2 linked regions of the Drosophila melanogaster genome follow. The protein of the gene in region 2 interacts with the protein of the main gene of each other region in a pairwise test. Each region holds a gene or a part of one and is shown on either strand. Other genes may lie near its edges.

What was found. The genes of interacting proteins can lie anywhere in the genome.
Region 1: the proteins of CG15546 (region 2) and CG12301 interact in a two-hybrid assay, tested with the Drosophila melanogaster proteins (one large-scale study listed by BioGRID).

Annotation. Positions count from the first base shown.
Region 1 is NT_037436.4:15,579,046-15,582,799, forward strand, and holds the start of CG12301 (uncharacterized protein), read left to right. Parts: upstream 1-1,754; 5' UTR 1,755-1,844; coding exon 1,845-2,249; intron 2,250-2,308; coding exon 2,309-3,754. Other genes in the region: mrn (marionette), read right to left, coding at 1-1,107, 1,163-1,461.
Region 2 is NT_033777.3:30,874,108-30,877,861, forward strand, and holds CG15546 (uncharacterized protein), read right to left. Parts: upstream 2,080-3,754; 5' UTR 2,028-2,079; coding exon 795-2,027; 3' UTR 258-794; downstream 1-257.

The DNA of each region.
Region 1 (3,754 bases), on a different chromosome or scaffold from region 2:
CACACCAGCATGTGGATCGACTGGGCGTAGTCTCGTAGCGTTACGAAATCTGTATGCGAGAGGAACTGATTGTACAGCACGCCTTCGGTGTAGGTGAAGCGATTTCGCTCTAATTCCCACAGCTTAATTTGATCAACGACTGTGGGTGGCAGGCAGGATTTAGAGTGAATGGCTGACTCGACCATGCGCATATTGGGATGCGCATACTGCTCCAGATACGAGACAATCTGCTCTGCCGTGATACCGCCACGCAACGCCTGGCGCACTGAATCGCGGGTTAGCACGCCCACGACGAGATTGGGAAAGCGGTAGAGAAGCTCCGTGAACAGACCTAACACGGCTACCTGGAGCGGAGAATCAGTGTAGGCATACACTCGGTAGTTCGTCTCCACCACAATGTAGCCACAGTCCTGAGTGGCCTCCTCATCCATGGCCACAGATGCAGTCGCAGCCGCCTCCTTGCTTGTCACATTCAGAGCCAAACGTGTGGGATAGAAGCGTCCCTCCTTACGCTTACGTTGGAAGACCAGTCCAAACTCCCGTAGATGCTGCAGGAATGTCAGCATCTGACTGTTCATGCCCTCGGAACTGTAATCCCTGCCCAGCGTTGAAAAACTGAGCTGGAACAACATGGACAAGCATTCCGGCAGGCTGATTCCTCTTTCTTCGCACGTGTCCAGGTACTGTAGCATAAAATGCCACACCTGAGCTCGCGTGTCCAGCAGCAGGAACTGAAAGCCCTGCCGGGTTATTGTGATACCGTCTCGTTCATCACGTTTCATGAGATTGGCGTGCAGCAGAATCCGAACGGCGTCCGGACTAATGGCCTCCGCATCGGTGCCATTGCGATTTCCGGTGCCGACCATGTAGTGCAACACGCAACGCCAGCGGGACATGGCGTATGTATCCAGAAAAGCAATGTCCCTGGGCTTCGAGTCCTTATCCAGCGTGTTGGTCATAGGCCAAGGTTTTCCGCCGCCCAGCAGCACCTGGCGTACGCTTTTCTTGAAGGTGGGCGAGAGCTCCCACGCAGAAAGGCCACCCGGAATGGCTGTGACCCGCCAGACGTTCAAAGCCGTCAGGCAGCTGGTTGCCTCGGCTTGCTCCCTGCAAAAGTAATGCATTGCAATGATATTGTTTATCCAATTGGATACAGTCATACTTGGCACAACGTTGGGCACCCCATGATGTGACCACCGCTTGTGGCACAGGCTGATCCACGAACAGTATCCTTATGATAAACTGCCGGGCTATCTCTGGAAGCTCCCGAAAAACGGCCAAACAAATGGGCGGATAGTTGTACAGCTTCTCCAGCGACTCTGGCGTTTGGCGGGTGCGCAGATACTCCTGAAAGTCCTTACACTCCAAGTTCGCAGGACCCTGCCCCAAGGGCGACAGGACGGCGTTTCCACTTCCCCCGGCAGCCGAATGCCGACCACTACCGGATTTCGTGTCGGCCATGACGATTCGAATGTCGAATTCGTAAACAAAATATTTTCATCCCGTTGTCATCGATAGCCGGTCTTTCGTGGGGGGACAATCGATAGTAATCATCAAGGGCGTTACGAAGGGGGTTTTCGCTGAGTTAAAAGTACATTTATTGTTAAAAAAAAATCAATTGATTTTTGATGCATAGATATATGTATTGAGTAGTAAATGTTATTATATTTAAGTTAATTTTTAAAAGAAGGCAGCTCCATTTTCCACACTCATGCTATCGAGCACAGGTAGAAATTGTGATGGGCCGCAAAACTTATCGATAACTCTTCAGCTGTTATTCTGCACACGTGCTGCGCGAAGTATTTTTGTATTGTTATTTGATTTTAAATATTTTCCTGACAAAAATGAGTGACGACGAGGAGCACTACGAACCAAAGGCACACAAGAAGCTGCTGCAGGCCATCGGCAGTCTGGGCAAGGTGCAGCACATCCAGAAGTCCACGCGCGACGAGCGGCAGTCGCTCCAGGATGAGTTCCAGCTGGTAAAAGGTGTTTCGTCAGCGGAAACGGATCATGCCCCCAGAGCCGTGGGTCTGAACGATCTGGTAGACATCCTACGCACCTCCACCAAGCACAGTCAGACGGGCAAGAAGCTCAAGAACATCCATGGCAGCAAAAAGGTGCTACAGAAGCCGCTGGAGAAACCAGCTGCGGATCGAATTAAACGGACCATTGGCTACGAGGGAGTTACCAAGAAACTCGGTCGTTGGGATGCTGTGGTGGCTCAACAGAGATCTGCGGAGACGCAGGTGAATGAATGCCAATGCTAACAGTGACATACACATATAATCTCCAAAACTTATTACAGATCTTCCCCCTACCATCTGAAACGGTTTACGTAAATACTGCGGCAAATGCCAGGCCTCTAAACACCCGGGTCAAGTCCAATCTTGCTCAAGAACTCGAGGCTAACAACCGTAAACTACGGGAACTGCGCAAAGCGCAAATTGGGGATACCACGGATGAAAAGGAGCTGGCCAAGCAAGAGCGGCTTTTACTACAAAAGAAGCTTACCAGGGACGAACTATTTGCCCGTCGCAAGGAGCTAGCTTACCTGAAGATGCGCGAGTCTCAAAAGTCAGCAAAGGCGCGCATGCAAAACAAAATCAAATCGAAAAAGTTCCACAAGCTGCAGAAGAGACAAAAAATGTTGGAGCAGATGAAGGAGTTCGAGTTGCTGCAGAAAACCGATCCAGAGGCGGCGCTGGAAAAGCTTAATGCCCTGGAAAAGAGTCGAGTGCAGGAGCGTGCCAGCCTGCGGCACAAGAACACCGGTACTTGGGCGAAGAATCTGCAGATACGGGCCAAGTACGACAAGGATGTGCGAAAGGATCTGGCCGAGCAGTTGGCTGTTAGCAGGGAACTGACCCAGAAAAAGCAGGTGTCAGACAGCGAAGATGAAACCACCAAGAAGAGAGTTTTACCCGAGGAGGAGGATAATGACTACGATCCCTTTAATCCTTGGACAAAAAGAAAAGCTACAGAGCAAACGGAAAATGGAAATGGTGAAAGTGAGGGTTCCAATTGGCGGCAATATTGGACAAAAAGGAATAAAAACGAAAAGTTACTGGAGGAGCATCGTAGGGATTTGGAAGGAGTCCAGGATAATGACGAGCAGGAGGAGAAAGAAACTATTCGGAAACCATTAATAGAAGTAAAACCTGCTAAGAAGAAACTTAAGAAATCGAAAGTTAAGATAGAAAATGGCTGGGAGGTGGAAGATATTTGCCCAACTGATCAGAAAGAAGCCAAGGCAAGCCCGAATTCAAAAGCCATTGATGACATTTTTGAGAAACACGAGGATCATATCAGAGCCAAACTAAATAAGAAAATGGAGAAATTGAGGGAACGGATAAACAAACTTAAAGAAGTTCCTGTCAAGGGAAAGAAGGCGAAAAAGAAGGACGTCTTGCAAAACCTAAAAAGTCTGGCTTTAAAAAAGACAAAGCAACAGATAGAGATTGACGAGCCCCTTAACTACGAGGAGGATAAAAATTCACAGAATAATATCCCTGCCCACGTTGAAGGTAACACAGAAAGCACGGAAATTCCAGCTGTGGATACCATAGATCCCAACAAGGTGACAACTTTGGTGTTTACCCAAAAGAAGGGCAACTCGGGAGGCTTTAACGATGCTCTAATAGACGATGAAGCAGCTGAATACGACGAGGAAGACGCCGCTGCTGAACGCCAGTTGACAATCAGTCAAGCCTTCGAGGATGATGACATTGTAGCTGATTTTAATCGGGACAAA
Region 2 (3,754 bases):
TGAGGTATGAATAAGTTTCTATTCACACAATGCACACAATGAATAGCTGCGTTGTATTCATGGCAAGCCTTTCCAAGTTCAATGTGCGCCTGCTTTCGATTACCTCGATATAAATATATAACAACTTGAACTTCACTCTCTTTCATTATTAGTTTGAAAACTGAATACCAAACGAATTGATTAAGTGCCCATGTATATTTTTCTGTGCCTATAGTAGGTTTTTAAGGCTTAATTGAATATTTCCCGATTCGAAATTTATTTGGTTATATATGTATTAGTTTATTAGCATATCTCTATCATTATAATTATAGATTTTTCTGCGTTGGCTTTAAAAGCTAAATTAATACATGATCGTGGTGCACAACAACAGCATCGCCGACAAATTAGTCAAGATCAAGGTTTGTTTATGTATGTATATTCAACCGCTCGAAAACAACAAAAAAGCCGACTCATTCATTCGCATGTGGGTGAATTCAGAGTTTGTATGGGATCGTAAAAGTAAAAACTAAAAAAAGGTTGAGCTGCTGCTGTCGCATCAACTTGCTGCTGATGTGGCTGTTGTGCTGCAGATGTTGTTGCTGCTTCTGTTGCAGTCGCTGTTGGCTTTCAATTAGCAATGCAGATTGTTGCTGTCGACTTACTACATAGAGAAATATTTGTAATACTATTTCATCCTAATGATTGTCAAGCAGATATTCTTGTATGATCTTCTTCATCGCTTCAGTTATATGTTTTTGCACTTGCATTTCTCACTGTGTAGCTGCACTAATCACTGAACACGCGAACTGGAGCCCTCAGTCCGGCAGACCCACGCTCACTCTCTGCCCCGCTGAGCTGCGACGCGCCTGCGCAGTGGGCGGCGACTGCGACGCCGTACCGCCCACCATCAAAGCGTCGCCGCTGAAGCAGAGGCTGCTGCGCAGGTGTTTGCGAGGGTCAGAGGGCACGGGGGGATCTTCGTCGATAGTGTGTGTGTTACCCACTCCGGATTGGGTCTGTGGCATTTTTGGAAAGATTTTCCTACCATTGCCGTTGGCCTGATAATTATTATTATTATTTAATGGCTTGCTCCGACTAGTTTCCATAAAAGAGCGTTGATGTTGCTGCTGCTGCTGCTGCTGGCGACTTCCTGTCGGCATATTTGGCTGCTGACGGTAGCGAGTTTCGTAGGTGGGCTCCTCACGATCCTCGCGATCCTCCCGATCATCGCGATCCACCCGATCATCGTAGTAGGCGTACTCGGCAGCCTCCTCGTTGTAGGTCACATGCTTTTTGGGCAGTCCGGGACTTCGGGTTAGTTGCAATCTTCGGACTCGACTTTCCAGATGGTCGTACGGGTCCTGATCCTGTGACGTTTGCTTCAGTATCCTTTTGGGCAGGGGCAGTGGGCGTGGCCGCCGCCACTCGGGACTGTCGTTCAGGGGTTTCTTGGTGACCTTGGGCTCCAGTTCCACGCTGAAACTGCGCACATTTCTTTTGACCTGCAGCTTGGGACTGTTCTTGGAATTCAGTTCCACTTCGCGCTTGTCATTCAAGTCCATTTGTGGTCTCCTGGCGTTATTTTGAGTTAGGTTATCTGCTTCGTTTACATAATCGTAGAACTGGATCTTGGAGCTGTAAGCCTGCTGGCGACGGCTGCTGGTGTCCTCAGCTTTGTTATCCGATTCCTGCGGTCTCACTTCGGTTAGTTTTGGGGTTATTTCTCTGCGTAGACCCCTTGCCAATGAAGGTTTATTTCCAGGATTAGACTGCAGATTATCATAGAACTGTATGGAAGAACTGGCAAACTCCTTGTGAAACATTCGCCGTGTGTCCACTTCGTCGGATACATTCTGATTGGAAGTAATCCTTTCCACAGGCCTCTCCAGCTGCTGGCTGTTTCTCCTCTTTGCTCGGGTTTCCACCGCGGAATCCGCTCGGGAATCGTCTGGCCAGAAGAAGTGCGACTCCTGGCGATTGCACACCTTCACCGCCTGGCGCTCCACCATTTTGGGCGGCAAGCCCGTGTAGAATTTTCCGTTCAGCATGGTCGCCCAATCTTCGCCGGATTGGTGGTCCACTCGACTGATCGGAGACTGGTCCGCAAACCGACTGACACAAAAAGAATCCGTCGGAGGCCGGAGAGCACATAAAATGGCTGAGATGTTGGCGTCGCCATCGGCGTTGTCATTTGTCGTAGGCGTTCAGTTTCGTTTGCTCAGGTGATCAACCAGGCCCCAGACTAATTTGCGATTCTTGCGAAAAATAACTCGAGAAGTGAGTAAAAACGAGAGTTTCTGTGTTTATAAACTTTTGGATACTCTACGAATTGGAAATATACAGCATTTAATTATATTTCCATATTCGATTTCTTCGAAAGCAAACAGTGCGCTGCATTCACTGCAGGCAGTTTGGAAAATGACACACTTGTTGGTTTTGGTTTTTAGCCTCTCGCAAGATTTTTGAAAATACATTATACCCTTTTGCAAATTCTTCGAGTGACTTATTAACAACAAACACAAACAGCATCGAGGCAAAAATTTATTTGCTGCCAGTGCAGCGTGGACGTTGGCAGCGAAGTCGACGGCGCAGCGGCAGAGACGAGTTTCCATCTAAGGTCAAACCAAATCGCGGCATTTTTCACTTTTGGAACGAAAAGTTGATTTTCGTGAGCTCAGCGTTGACCAAATGTTTTGGTTTTTACTTCGCTTTTGGCCTGTCCGTTCGGACTAAAAAGCCAGAATGCCGCCAAAGTTGGCCGACCAAGAATAATAAACGACAACAGATGCCAATTATTGGGTGCTTTAATGGCTTCAACTTCAACGTACTTTTGGCCGCAAGTGAGTGTCACTTGAATGATGCTCAGTATGGCCGACACTGCGTATACGTAACATTACATGGCTGAAAGTTGAGAGGAGCTCAATACTCTGACACAATGTCGTGAACAATGCACTTTGAAAAGGAAAAGCGAAACACCAGTAAAACATACCAGTGTTTATTTAATTAAATTAAATTTATTTTCTCTTGATCTTTACATGGTTTGCCATTGGAATGGAGTGGGGAGATGTGTGGGGAGCTTTGCTGATGGACACTACTACTGCTACTTATGTTTTGCTTCCATTAATTCATTTTATTTGGTTTACCTCCCAGGCTGCGTTTTAGTCGAAGACGTATTTGGAGTACGTAATAAGCTTAATGTACAAACAATGCCATAGAAACACATACAATATCATACACGTTCGGTTTGCATACGGGTCTATGTGGGGATACTACTCTGGAGGGTCTGAAATTGCGAAACGGCGAAGTGGCATATCTATATATCTCAGTGTGGTGGCTGCTCATGTAGATGGGTACCATATACGTTCTGCGGGGGGATATGTTAGGTTGCTTAGACTACGTTTGATTTTGAGTTGACATCGCTGACACGGGGATCTATGCTTTATAACCTGACATTTACAAACTTTGTTTTTTTCTTTGTTTTTAGTTTTTAGTTTTGCTGGGTAGTGTTGTTAAACATATACTTAGGGTTGCTCTCGGCTGCTTAAGACTTTATTTACAATTCGTATTTATAGCTGATTGGCCAGTCAGTTAGCCTTTCTCTTCGATGGTGCTTACTGCTGCTGCTGTTGCTGTTGCGGCTGCTGCTGCTGCTGCTGGGGGGGCAGCAGTTGCATCGGCGACATTACTATTATGTTGGTGGCTCCTCCGGCTGCGTGGCCATAGTCCAGCGGCTTCTGCATCGCCTCCACATCCAGATCCGGGGCACGGGTAATCA